Oryzias latipes: one gene and its partner. The main gene of each other region encodes a partner of the protein of the gene in region 2 in a complex. Links are inferred from orthologs where the notes say so. Each region holds a gene or a part of one and is shown on either strand. Other genes may lie near its edges.

Evidence for each region.
Region 1: gtf2h4 (region 2) and polr2h share a complex: the UniProt entries of both Homo sapiens proteins name them as parts of the TBP-based Pol II pre-initiation complex. The link is inferred for Oryzias latipes from reciprocal best matches to the Homo sapiens genes GTF2H4 and POLR2H.

The regions. Positions count from the first base shown.
Region 1 is NC_019862.2:11,775,644-11,783,124, reverse strand, and holds polr2h (DNA-directed RNA polymerases I, II, and III subunit RPABC3), read right to left. Parts: upstream 4,613-7,481; 5' UTR 4,462-4,612; intron 4,315-4,461; exon of another isoform or gene 4,124-4,314; intron 3,420-4,123; 5' UTR 3,399-3,419; coding exon 3,326-3,398; intron 2,948-3,325; coding exon 2,864-2,947; intron 2,595-2,863; coding exon 2,501-2,594; intron 2,399-2,500; coding exon 2,315-2,398; intron 2,162-2,314; coding exon 2,044-2,161; 3' UTR 1,549-2,043; downstream 1-1,548. Other genes in the region: lisH domain-containing protein ARMC9, read left to right, coding at 5,478-5,552, 5,692-5,817, 7,050-7,220. UniProt on the Homo sapiens protein: DNA-dependent RNA polymerase catalyzes the transcription of DNA into RNA using the four ribonucleoside triphosphates as substrates.
Region 2 is NC_019869.2:21,555,013-21,561,745, reverse strand, and holds part of gtf2h4 (general transcription factor IIH subunit 4), read right to left. Parts: coding exon 6,657-6,733; intron 5,522-6,656; coding exon 5,417-5,521; intron 3,667-5,416; coding exon 3,535-3,666; intron 3,420-3,534; coding exon 3,237-3,419; intron 2,578-3,236; coding exon 2,469-2,577; intron 1,714-2,468; coding exon 1,645-1,713; intron 1,566-1,644; coding exon 1,482-1,565; intron 1,382-1,481; coding exon 1,228-1,381; intron 855-1,227; coding exon 724-854; intron 1-723. UniProt on the Homo sapiens protein: Component of the general transcription and DNA repair factor IIH (TFIIH) core complex, which is involved in general and transcription-coupled nucleotide excision repair (NER) of damaged DNA and, when complexed to CAK, in RNA transcription by RNA polymerase II.

The DNA of each region.
Region 1 (7,481 bases), on a different chromosome or scaffold from region 2:
TCTCCCGTCTCTATCATTTCTCTGAACGCGCTCCTCATGCTTTGACAAACAGCTGAGCTAATCCACAGAGCGAGGCTTCCAATTAAAGCTGGGGAAGATGCTAAACCTGGCTATTCATCTGAGAAAAGCTCAAAATACATCAGCATTTTCCTCCACGATTTAAATACGATATTTTAGCAATGCCTGGGGCGATTCTAAGACCAAAGAGGAGCCCGAAGATCCTTCACATACGGTCAATCAAAGTCCAGCAACGCTTTTTCGTAAGAAAACAATTCGACATGCCCCTCCATGGCCACCGTCTTTTCCGGTGTTGTGCAGGAACGAACTCCTGGAAAGGAGTAGTCTTGTCTCGGGAGCGCGCTTTGCACTGATTTCAGAGCCAGTTCCCAATTTAGATCAATTTCGTCACCGACATTTTTTTTAAACTAATTAGATGCCTTAACAGATACAAAAAAAAGGAAAAGTTGATTAGAGCCTAACCATTTGTTATGATGTCATGTAACCACCTGCAGTAAAGTCTAACAAAATGCTGTCAGGGATCATGATAGAACTACCCTGTTTTCACATTTATTTAAGCTTGCATGATAAAAAAAAGTCAACTAAACTTCAGATTTTACCATGAAGGATATGTAACAGCAATTTTTCTGTCAGATATTTATAAAACCAGACAAAATAACAAATCCTCAATAGCAAAAGGGATTTTTTTTAAGCAAAGATTAGATCAAGTTAAAATGTATTACAATGACTCCTCATTTATCTGAGTCCAAATCAAAATGCAGAAGCAATATCAGAACCTTTTAAACCTCAATCGTGTTCCTGCTGCCCTAAGAGTTGGTTAGCAAAATGAAGCTGCTGTCTCTCCTCACAGCATTTCATGATCATCAGGAGTCAACTGTTCAACTGGATGAAACATTAAAATAAACATGAGTCAAAGTTTGGTGACAACTATAAACCTCATCATCCAAGATTCCACTGCATCCTCTGTTCAGTGCCTGAGTAAAAAGGTACTTTTCAAAAAGTGGGATCCTCTCCGGTTTCCAGATTCTCATTTGAATTATAATTTATTTTAGAAAAATAAAGAAACTTCAAAATGAAGGAATGTCATTTATGTTTTGTCTGTATGGAGCATGTATTCCCGTGTTGTTCTTACTGCATGACTAATCCAATAAAATAGTCTTCAATTAAATATAATAAACCCTTCATGAAATTGACTCAAGGTCAGGCTGGTTGGAAAAATGGAAACTTCTCATTATTTGCATTTAAGGTCTTCACTGATGGCATGTCAATTTTTATGAGCTGTACTAATAGAAAAAAAATAGATTTTTGGCTCAGGCAATCTGAAGTGAACCATAAGCAGCAGAATGCAGCTGAAAATGTCATTGCTGAAACAAGGCAGACAAAACTAAAATGGAAGTAAGAGATGAAGATTTTAAACTGTTCTACTAGCAAAAGCATTGAAATTTTTAGACAAGTCATACATATCATGAGATGCAACTGATCACATATCAGCTGGATAACTACATAAAGCCCAAATCCAGACTTTATGCTAAAATACATGTCAGTACCACAAAGGGCAAAACTTTATTTTACAACATGAATCCATTCTGTTTGTGTTTAAAGCTTTGTGTGCACATACCAGTATTCAGTGAGTCAGAGTGATTCCCATCTTGTGACATTTGTTATAACAGTCTTTAAGTGTCCTGTTTGGCGCACAAAAGCCGCTTATTTCCCTATAATTCAATTTTCTGTCTCCAGGTTTCATTTTGCTGCGTTCTGCAACACTGTTGAAGAGTATTCATCGCTATAAAATGAAGTTAATCAACACTTGTAATTGTTTTGTATAAAAGAAAGAAATATTTATTTACAGTGTACCACCAAGTGGAAATCACAGACCTCAGTGTAGTTTGTTGGAGGAACTATAAAAAATACAACAGAGGTTTACAAAAACATGGTGTTTTGTCTCTAAGATGTTCATATGTTCCACTTTTCTAGATCCCAGTTTTACAAAGGTGGATGAAGGCGGTAGAAAACAGAGGAGGGGGGTTAAAAGGCCAGCTTCTTCATGAGGAGATAGACTCTGGAGTCTACCTCAAAGCCGTGTAGATTGTTGGCATCTCCCTGCAGCCTCATGAGAAGGCCTCCATAAGACACATAGGCTGAGCTGAAAGAACAAGCACATCATTAGAGGACTTGATCAACATTTACACATACATACAGTTTATTTAAATTTTTACTAATCACTAAATTGACAGCACTTGACTTTTAACTTAAATAAAGGATTGTAATGATCTACATGCATTTGTGTAGAACTTACAGACGCGTGGCTGCTTCTGTTGAGGTCTCATCGCCTTCTATCTTGTAGACCTTTCCATACATTACATAGTCAAACTGAGCTGCCCTAGAAACAATTTAAAAATGGAAGATGAATCAAAAGCATCACACATTATCTGCCACAGATTGAAAGACATGGATGTTCATTTATCTTCTTTAAATGCCTTGCCTAGATGGTCGATCATCCTGGGGATTGTACTCTCCATCATCTGGCGTTCCATCTTCATATAATGTACTGGCAATCACCAGTCTGAACTTGTCCCCTTTTTGAAACATGCAAAAAAAAATCTGGATTTATCATAGCAATGTACATAATCACCTAAGATCAAGCTACACTTCTAATACAATAGTTTTACATTGAGTCAAAACTGAGTTAAAATAACTTATCAATTCTGCACCAACACCTTACAAGAGTGAAGAATGACAGTTTCACTAAATACTACCAATAATCAATTTAAAAATTCCTCCACAAAGGCCAAATGTCTAAGATCAAACAAGACATAAACAATAAAGGACATTGTTAATTTCTTACCAAGATCAACAGGATAAATCTGAGTATTTACATCCAAGATCAGGTCCATCTTGAAAGATTCACTTTCACAATGCAGACGAGACACTGCAGTATAAGTAATAATAACCTGTATTAGTTTATATTAAAGAGAACTGAAAACATTATGAAACTGACTAACGCGCTTTTAGATATCCATCTTTTTCAAGCAAATGCATATAATGATTATGTTTGTTATTGTGTTAGTTTTAAAGCTACTAAAAAGCAGGATTGAAGGTTTCCCAACTCAGTAATGTGATGACTGTAATGTTTAGCTGTAATAAAATAATAAAATAAAAGCTGTAATTACTGACAACACAATTTTTTAGTCACACTTAACACAATATGAACAAAAATGCAATATACAATTGTAATTATGACTTTTACAACTGAAACTATCTACTGGTGAAGATCGTTTTTGTGTTTTTACAGTGACAGTCCACATACCTCTGTCAAATTTCTTGCCATCTGGATCAATGTCTTTCACATCAAAAATATCTTCAAACAAAATCCCAGCCATCTTTATCCCTTTCTGTTAAACCTAAAACAGATTCATCATAAAACAAAATTAAAAGGGAAGGTTAGTCACACAGCAAAGCATTTTACGTAGCCAAGTCAATCAAGAAAAACACACTATAGCAGTGAGTGCTATATTGTGTTTTTCACAGTTTCAGTGTGAAATTCCTATGACTCTTCTTTCTTCTTTCTTTCTCTTTCGGCTTTTCCCATCAGGGGTCGCCACAGCGAATCATCCTTTTCCACCTCACTCTATCATGAACATCTTCTACCCTAACATTAGCCAACTTCATGTCCTCTGTTAAGACATCCATATATCTCCTCTTTGACCGTCCTCTTGGCCTCCTGCCAGGCAGCTCCATCTCCAACATCCTTCTAGTTCTACCAATATATCCACTATCCCTCCTCTGAACATGTCCAAACCATCTCATTCTGGCTTCTCTGACTTTGTCGCTAACACAGGCAACATGGGCCGTCCCTCTGATGTACTCGTTCCTTATCCTGTCTAACCTGGTCACTCCTAAGCGTTCTGGTCCCGATCTTGACTATAATTAATTAAAAACAAGTTAAAAAGAAAAAGGAATAGGTCAAAACAAATGGAAATCACAAAGCTCTCCCACCGTGTCAAAGTGGGTGAACAAAACTTGTCACAACTTTGGACAACTTTAACAATGTTCACTTACGCGCTAACTGTAGCATCATGTTGTCCACACAAAATATAATACTTACCCCCAAGTGCTGTTCTTGTATTTTTGTGTAAATAGTATGCCCTGGAATGTGGTGAATTCGTGTAAAAACGATAATAATGTAACCTAGACGTCAGATATTTGATTTAGATAGATTTTCATTCATTATTAAGCGAAATAGTCGGTACCGCGCAGAACCAGCGTGTTCGACCTTTGACATAACAAGAACTTCCGTTTTTTTGTCTCTTTTTTTCTTTTAAAAGAAAGACGCATGTTTTGCTTTACTGAATGTTATACATTTTTTAGAAAGGGAAAAATGCGTTGCGATGGTGTAATGTAGAAAAAATGATCACTAAAATAACACCAATTAAATTTGCCTACCGTTTTATTTGAAGGCTCACAATAGGTCAAAGATGGGGAAAAAACGAATAATATTTTGGCTAAATTTTACGTAGCAAATAAAAAAAAGATTTTTATAAAAGTATTTGTTTTCTCTCAATTATTTAACTGATAATTTAAGTAACCAACAACTGAACTAATTTTACGACAGTTTTTACTAACTTCCGTCTGTCGTCATCTTGTTGCTAGGTGCGTTTAGCGTCCTCTGTGTGGACGGTTGCTAGCTAATGTTAAGGCTGTTGTTTTTACCATAAGCGTCATTATATCGAAAAAATAATTACCAATATACATTTTAAGCATAAATAAAATATTTAATGAAACTTCTAATGCGGATTCTTACCAAGAAAAGATGGTCAAACGAGGTAAGGAACGCTCATCATGTGAACAAACCTGACTGAAACAATTATTGACTAGCTTCCTGCAGTTTGCAGCTCTTCAAATCTCTGCCGTTATAGTTAACGTGTTTTCCGCTATAAAATGCATACAAAGATGAAAATAATTTTTTTTTGATCATAGTAGTAACATTAGGATGGTCTTAGTTTTAGGGCAGGGATGTCCACTTAGTTTCTTCTGTTTAGTTTAGCAATCAGCTATTGAATTCTATGACTTTATGTTCTTTATGATTCATGTTTATTACACAATTACCGGAATGAAGCCCATTGAGATGACTATTGCTGTAAATATTGGGCTATAAATACAATGTAATTGAATTGAATACAACTACAGTAACCTCGGTTGGAACAAACAAATAATAATTCGGAAAGAAAACTGAAACCGTACAAGTTAATACAGGTTGTAATTATTTGCTCTTGTTCGAATAAGCAAGACTGGTCATCTTTACATTAAAACGTGAAATTATTGAAGTATTTTTTTCTTTTTCTTTTTGCCTGTCTGTGCTATTCTGTCTGTTCAGACTGTTACCTGTTTTTTGTAAGTGCAAAGGAATTTCAAACTGAGCCCCAAATGACGGCCGGTATTTTGACAGCTGTGGTCCACGGATGAGTTCAACTAAGACAGCCAAGATGGGAGACATCTTGGCAACTGAAGCCGATCTCCTTGGGATGATTAAAGAGGTAAAGCATGATAGGGATGTGAAGAAAAAAACTGCAATTAAAATCCATAATCTGTTTATTCTGATAGTTGATCTAACATTTCAATGTATTCCACGATGGTGATTGTATAATTAACACACTTTGTGTTTGTTCTCTTTAGTACCTGAAGTTTGGGGAATTTGAAGAAACGGTTCAAATTTTTGACAAAGAATGTAAAAGCAAAGGCAAACTTGTCTCCAAGCCTCGAGGAAACGCTCTCAGAGACTCAAAGACTCGTGTCATTCAGGTAAATTATACGTTTCATAAGATATCTTAGTCCTTGATAGTAATCAGGGGTGTAAGGATTCATTTTAACAACAATTCCACTCAGAGAAAAATACCTGGGTTCTAATCAGTGCAGGTGAAGTTTTCCACATTCCTTGTATCTCTTGCAAAATAATCAAGTATAAATTAAATGTGTGTGCAAACAAACAAGTACCGGTAAACAAGAGTTAATGGCAAATCCATTCCCATTTTAGTTTCATAAAGTTCAACCCACTGTTGTTTTTCCACAAAAAAATACAAATTAAACATTATCAGAACATTCTGCCACACTGTATGGTCATGTCTTTACTAAATTCAAAGTAATGACGGACTGATCAGTTTTATGCTGCCATCACGTGTTTTGTCCGCTGTGATGCACTTGGTAGTTTTAACATTATAGTAAAATAAACGTACCGTACCTCAATCGAAACGGTATTTTCCAATATTGATTATAATCGATTTGTTTCATTTTGAAATGATTTTATAACGGTATAGGTCGACCTATTTCTATAAATGGCTTACTTCAGACAGATCGATTTGGTTGAATCTTAGGATTGTAAATCTAATATTCAATTAAGTTGATGTTCCCTTCTCTACTTCTGTGCCGGTCCCAAGCCCGGTTGCTTTGAGAAGGTTGCATCAGGAAGGGCATCCGGCGTAAAACATTGCCAAGTTTACCATGCGACTTGTTCGCTGTGGCTACCCCTGATGCGAAAAGCCGAAAGAGAAAGAAGAATTGTCAACCCCCTGATAGTTATAGATAATATGTGTAGGCTACAGACCATTCTAGGTATAAAAAGCATTGAAACCATGCATACTTTTAGAATGTTAGTTAAAGTGATTGAAGTTTTCTATATGTGTAGTATCGTGATTGTTCTAATTATGTGTAAAACAGTAAGTAGTGTATATTTAAAAAAATAGAGCGCAGAAGGAATAATCTTTACTCTGGAGAAGACTTGTGGGGATTCCTGAAATAAACAAACAAACCCGAACAAGATATTTGCAGACACAAAATGATTCCACATATACAAGTCATATATGGAGAAATTGCATTTCTACATTTTTTTCTTCTAGTCTAGCCTATTAGAAAAATGTTTGACCAGATTGCAGATTATTTTACTAATAAAATGTTCATAAGAACAGTTGAATGTTTTTGTTAGTGATTTTCTTTTCAAGTTTTTTTGTTTGTTATGTTTTTTTAAATCTGACTTGAAGGAAGACCTTCTTAGCTCTTTTGACGATGGAGACCACAAAGTTTTCTTTGAGCTGTGGAAAGAGAATATTCCTTCTGAGGTGAAAGATTTAGATGCTGAGACCCAGGGCTTGGAGTTCTACCTTCATGTCCACTTCACCATTTTCCCACTGAGGAGCCATCCAGTTAGACAAGTACGTGAATCTAATTGTTCCTTGTTCTCATAAAAACGAAAACAGTAGTCTTGTGATTTGTTGTTTTTAATGCTGTCCACTAGGTTGTGCTACAAGCTTTGCTTTTTTTTATTCAATAAAGCTGGAATTATATGGCTATGAGTTGAACCCTTGTGCTATCCTATGACCCCACCCTCACATTGACGTGTTCTCAAGAAAAAAGGTTCAGCGCACTGTCTAGTGGGTCTAGATGACCCAACTCCCAAAGTATAAGTGCCTAGG
Region 2 (6,733 bases):
ATTCAGCTGCACCTTCGGCTGTATTTGGGAAAAGTCCCGTCCCTTTGACTGTCTCCACCAATCATTCTTGGGGAGCTTAATCACATGTCATCAGTCTGACCAATCAGAAGTGGTTAAAGTCTTCACTTCCTTGTCCCGATTTAGCTCGTAAAGTCGCTCAGTTCTAACTAAAATACAAGCTAAAGCTCGTCTTTAGCTGTGTAGCTTTGCACAGAATCCGGTATCAGACCGTGGAACAAGTGAACAAAACAATGAAGCTCCGAAAACCGATCTCCAGCCGTTTTATGCACTACATCTCCCATGATGCATTGGGTCATGAGATTGACAGCGCACAAGGAGATTTGTTGTTAAACGTCTTGAAACAACGAACACACATCAATCTGTTTTTAAATCTTCTAACTTAACTTTTATTGCATTTTTTAGAAAAAAAACAGCTGCAGTTTCCAGCTATTTCTGACACAATTTTCTCAAAAATGCATGTGAGATTGTGGAGGGACTGTAGATCAATACAGACCTATGAGTTTCTCTTTTTTTTTTTTTTTGGTTGCTGGTGTGCCGCGGGATTTTTTTTAAGGTTAAAGTGTGCCGTGGCTCAGAAAAGGTTGAAAAACACTGCGTTATGTGAAGTAAGTCAAACTAAGTCACAGTCCAAACCGTTTGAATCAAGTACTAGCTTTCAGACCTGTAGACGGCAGGTTTTTACGCCCTGCTTCTCGCCGTTACCTGCTGTGCTGTGATGCCATTGGCGATCGCCTGCTGCACCGACTCCCTCGTCAGATGAGCTACGACCACGTTGGGGAAGCGGTAGAGCATCTCACTGAAGAGGGCCACCAGAGCAATTTGGAGTTCGGAATCTGAGCGGGGAACAGAATTGGGTCAGAACTTAAGGGTCGCGAGTCGACAGAAAGGACGGGAAGCCCGCATGAGCGCAGGGCTGAGCTGATCACGTAAAGACTAATGGTCACAAGTGTGCTAAAGAGCCTTCTCTGCAACTTTGACTTAGGACAACATCATTTGTACAAAATTTCTCTATGTTTGAGCTGCCATTTGAGATACTTAATTTTTGATTGGAAGGATGTATTTCTGGTAGCATTAATAAAATAAACCTTTTACTTAGTTGATTTTGCCTCCCCAAAGTTTTTAGTTTCCTACCATCCTTCCCCTCAGATCGGTTACCCCTAATCCTCATCCTATTCATTCAGCACAGAGCAATTCAGTTTTAAGTACTTGTGTACGCGTAGATCCGATAATTGGTTTCCACAACGATAAACCCCGCGTCTCCAGTTCCGGGAGTGTTCGTCATGTTGGAGGGGGAGTTGCTGGAGACTCCAGCTGCCAGTGTGATGGCCAGTCTGGTGGGGTAATAGCGCCGGGACTTCCTCTGACGACACAGAATCCAACCGTCATGTCAGAACTGCTACTTTACCAATAAAGGAGCATTTCTTCTAAAGGAGGGTGGTAGGGGTTTTATGTGGCCTTACCTTCCTCTGGAAGACCAGTCCAAACTCACGCAGATGCTGCAAAAACGTGAGTAGAGACTCGCTCATGCCTTCCACCGAGTAATCCTGACAAACACACAACAAGACACATGGCTGTAACGCTGCTAACGTTCATGTCTCCACGCGCCGACTGTGCTGCACTCACTCTGCCAAGCGTGGAGAAGCTGAGCTGGAACAAGAAGGACAAAATCTCCACAAGCTCCATTCCCCGAGACTGAAAAACACAGAACAAGTGCCATCATGTCCCAACTTAAAAAAAAATACACTTGTTTCACTGCAATCATTTTTGCACATAAACAGCTCCAGAGAATACAGGAGGCAGACCTTTTAAGCATCTGGTTCTTCTTCTGTGAAACAGACGCCTTCTATGCCGTAATATCTAAAACTGTGTTACATTTAACTTCAGCTCTGTTCCCTTCACACTTGAATCTAAGATCAACCACAACATTGGGAACTTCCACCCAAAAATGTACAAACTATAAATGGGAACTGTGCCTACAGACCTAAATGGTGAATGTAGTTCCCTCCTCCTCTCCCCTTCATTTTAACTGCTTTAGATAGAAAGCTGCACTTTCCATCTTTTGCCTCAGTGTTTGTTTCTGTACTGCATTTAGTTTTTCATCTATTTTTTTCCCCATCACTGTTATTTGCAGTGCTTCCACAGTTGGATCGTCTCCCTTGGAGTCGGCTGCTGTAAATCTACCTGGATCACCACCTTTTCGTGGGGGACACTGGGTTTCCCCCCTGGGATGCTGCACTCCACTGGCTGTGCATCAACTCTCAGAGGAGAAGGAGGTTTCAACTATTAGCATGTCCACCCACTGACTTAGTTTGGCTTTCCGTGCTCAGCCGGATGTATAATGTTTACCTCCATGGGCTCTAGGGGAGGGAGGTATGGGAGTAGGGGGGTGTCGATTTTTAAAATCAATTATTTACATTACAAAAACATTACTTATCTAGTCAAAGTACCTGAGCAGTGTTCAGGTACTGCAGGGTGAGGTACCACAGCTGAGAGGCGGTGTCCAGCAGCAGGAACTGGAACCCAGCTGAGGTGATGTATGGTGCCTCCCCAGCCTCGCTGCCAATTAGGAGAAAATGAGGCAGGTAAAAAATGAGACCTACACACAGGTTTCCTGTAAATCTTCCTCTTGTTCTGCAGTATGTCAGTGAATGCAGTCTTTGCTGTGATCCCATCTCCTTTACTTTCATTACCTTTTTCCCGTTTTTAACTCCAGATTTAGCAGAAACCACAGCCTCTGCCAACAATCAGGTCTAATATGCTGACATGACACAACTGACATATCTAAGAGGAGATACAAAGCTGATTTTTCCACAAATTCCTCCCTAAAACCAAAATCCTGCAAAAACAATAGCATTTTTCTGTTTTTATGGTCACATCAGAGCCACATAAAGGCATGAACACACATCAGTGACTTCTCTGCAAAAGCACCAAAATCCACACCCTTAAGAAATTAAATCCTAAAGGTTTTGACCAGGTTTGGTGAACTGGAGAGGTTCTTCTGTTTATTTCTCTTTTTGTTTTTTAATATCTAGGTTTGTTTTCTTCTCTGAGTAATTTGTTATTTGGTCTAAAATTGACATTTCTAAATGTATTCAGCTTCAGTGCGTCTCATCAGCTGCAGAGGAGATGTGCATTCGATGGCAGCACATTATAAAGTGTGGCGTATTAGATGAGGAAGACCCTGGTGGGAAGGCGGCTAAGAAACGACTCTGTACCTTTTCATGAGGCCCGCCTGGACCAACAGCTGGGCCAAGTCCTGGCTGACGGCGCTGGGAGAACCCACCATGAACTGCAGAATGACCTCCCAGCGCTCCATGGCATAGCGGTCGAGGCTCTCGATGTCCCTGGCATGACGGTCAGGGCCCAGAATGATGCCCTCATCTGCCCATACCTTACCCCTGTGGGCGATGCACAAAAAAGTCACAACACGTGCCAACGTTCATTTTTTCTTTCCGATTTGTTGACCACGCTGATCTCATTCCGACAGCGTGGAGGGCGGTGAGGGGAACGCACCCGCCCAGAAGAGCTATCCTCAGGTTATCTTTGAAGACTGGATTCAGGATGTATCCCTGCAGACCCCCCTGCAGCTGCTGACTGTGCCACAAACGGAGGCCCGTCAGAACCGAGACACATTCGTCATGATCCCTGAAAAAAGAAGCCAAACTTAGCAGCTGCACCGTCAGATCCAGGCTTTAGCACACAATCAGCCTCGGCACAAGCAGCAGCAGAAGAGAAAACCAAGAAACGCTCAATAAAAACCCTGAAACAGCACCGAAGTTTCAGGCTTTCTTTGTTATAAATAATAAGTCTATCTCTAGAGGAGTTTTCTCTGGGGGGTATTCCAGAAAGCAGGTTATGCTAGCTCCCACGATAAGTTTGAGGCTAAGGAAGTTGATAACCTCAGCTTTCGGTTCCAGAAATGGAGGTATGTTTCAGGGTAGGTCAAGTTGCCATGGCAACTCATGCTCTGAACATAACCTGGTCTGGAGCAGGTTTAGTTGAAGGTTAGTTTGTTTACAGAGAGGTGAAGCAGCATGACGTGTCCATTTGAAGATGATTTAGTGGATGAAGAAGCTCAGATAATACTTTTTCCACCATGAGAGGATGATAAGACCACATATGGATGTTGGAAAGAGAAACATTTTTACTTTGATCTAACTTAATTATTTGCTTCAGTTAAGATAAATCGTTTTTTGTTAGGTCACCATAAAAATAACACGTAGTTTTCAAACAATTATTTTCCTTTCATTCAAATTAATTCAATTAAGTAGGTGTAACTTTGGTGCTGCCGTTAGATCAGCACCGCAAGGTATTCTGGGATATCATTCCCTTTGCCTGTCTGGACGGATTTGGGTTTAAGTGTGGGTTTTTGACAGAATGTGTTTAGTTGTCTAACTATTTTACTCTGTTTTGCCGAGTTATTTTGTCCTACTCTGCTTACGTCTCTGCACCATGAGTGAGAGGGAGGGAGAGGATGATGAGTTTATATAGCACCCCTACGACTCACGCTTGTAATGACAATGATGGAAAATTCTTTATTGGACTTTTGCACTCCGTGTATTTTTTTCCGTCCTTTTTATTGTTATAAAAATGAGCATATCTGCCGGCTCAAACTTAGACATATGAAAGTTCAAGAAATATAAGTAATTAAGATTGAAAAAAGATTAATGGAGTAATGTGATATTTAGCTAGATGAATACGTAAAAATTGAGTTGTATAAACAATTATTGAGTTTTATAGACGCAAGAAATTAGGTTGAATACATTTAACTAATTTATTTGTTACTAATAGAAGAAATTTATTTAAGATTATATATAAATATGCGTCACAAGGAAAATGGAAACAAGATCAGAAACTTTGTTATTTTTCTCCAAGCAGAAACTCTTTTTTTTGCTGATGCAGCCGTGTTACTTTTTTGATGGACTTATAATTTCTATCCGCCGTCATTAAAATCTCAGACTCCGTCTCACTTCCGTCTCAAGTGTACCGCTTTTTTTTTCTCCACGCGTTTCCATGGTGACTCCAGAAATCGGCCATCTATTGAGAATGTCTTTATGTACCTCCTGTGCACGAGCATTAACCCAGGGTTACCAAGTCGAGCGTAATTACACTTACTCATATCCGGTCTTTTGGAACCGACATACCCAGAGTAAGCAAGTTTAGGCGGATTTCAGCCAGAGTTCAGGCTTAAAGTCTGGCTAGTTTAAACATGCTTCCTGGAATATCCCCCTGGTTCTGTCGGTTTGCTCAGTTTGCTCTCGTTGAACCACAGCAGTGATGGCTGCTGAGCACTTAAAGCGCCAGCAGGAGGCGCTGCAACAGCAGCTTCCTAAAAGCAGCTTTTGTGCTCCTGACCGTTCAAAATTGTAGATCAGGGAGAACATGGGAGCCTCACCTCTGTCCATCCTTCCTCACCCACAGGGCGACAGCTGCTTGAGGGAGGGGCTGCTCCAAAAACAGCATCCGCATCACATAGTTCTTAGCCAGCAAGGGGAGCTCTCTGCAGAGAAAGGGCCAACACAAAGCAGATGAGATCACCCTGTGGTAAATATTCAGACTATCCTTAATTTTATTATATATCATGGCCCTAAATGACCTTTTTTGGTTACTAGATGGGGTCCCCAGTAACTAGTCTACCAGCCAAGTTAGATTTCTACTAGCCAAACATTTCTCTGGAAAAATAAGTTATGTATTTGAAAGAAACACATTTATTCCATTTTTTATAAAGTTTCAGTTGATGATAATTTTCTCTTGAAAACACTAATTAAAAGTGTATTCTTATGTCAGGTTGTATAATATACCGAAATGTAATGCACCTCTGTTGCACTATTGTATTTCTTTTTACTTGTTCTGATCACTGTGTCTATGTTTTTGGCTCATTACTGTTTATTTTATTATTATTCTTAAGTGTTGTATGTGACACATTGGCACTGCAGCAAATTCCTAGTCTGTGAAACTGTTGTGTTCCGTTCACTGACATGGCAATAAAAATCCCTCTGAATCTGAATCTGAATCTTAACAAAAGACACTTCTGATCTCTGAACCTTTTTATAAACACATTCCTTTCTTTAAAGCACCAAATTTCTAATGTTTATTTCTAGTCATGGTCATTTGTGTTGCGGCTCATGTGACTTAACTCTGCGCAAAAAAAGTCAGAATTAAATGTTTGAACCAATTTGAGATGGGTGTTTGTTGAAGCTAAGTGTGGAGTGAGGCAGAGACTTAAAAGTCATAGTTGTGACTTTGACCCACCCTGTCAGAGATGCAGAACAATGCCTCACCTTTTTAAGTGGTTAGTCAAATTGGTTTTCTGGGCAGGTGGTAATCTAGAGCCCTGATTATATATAATGTAAAATTTTATAATAAAAGTAAAATGTCAAGGAGGTTAGGTATTGCTTTTTTATGAGAATGTAAAGTTCAATCTTGGCATTTGGTGGATTTGAAACTTATGTTTATAAAATACAGATGTGGTAGGTAACTTTTATTCTCTTTTTATGCATCTTCTAGCCTTATCAGGCATAGCGCTACAAACTGCAAACAGGAGGTAGTCCGAAATGTTTAGAAATATCATGCATTCCAGCAGGAATTTTAATGTGCTCAAGAGAGACGCCGTCTTTTGGATATGGAGCTGGTACCTGCACACAGCCAGGCAGGTAGCTGGGTGATTGTAAAGGCGGTCCAGGACGTCCGGGCCCAGCTCTCTCAGGTACTC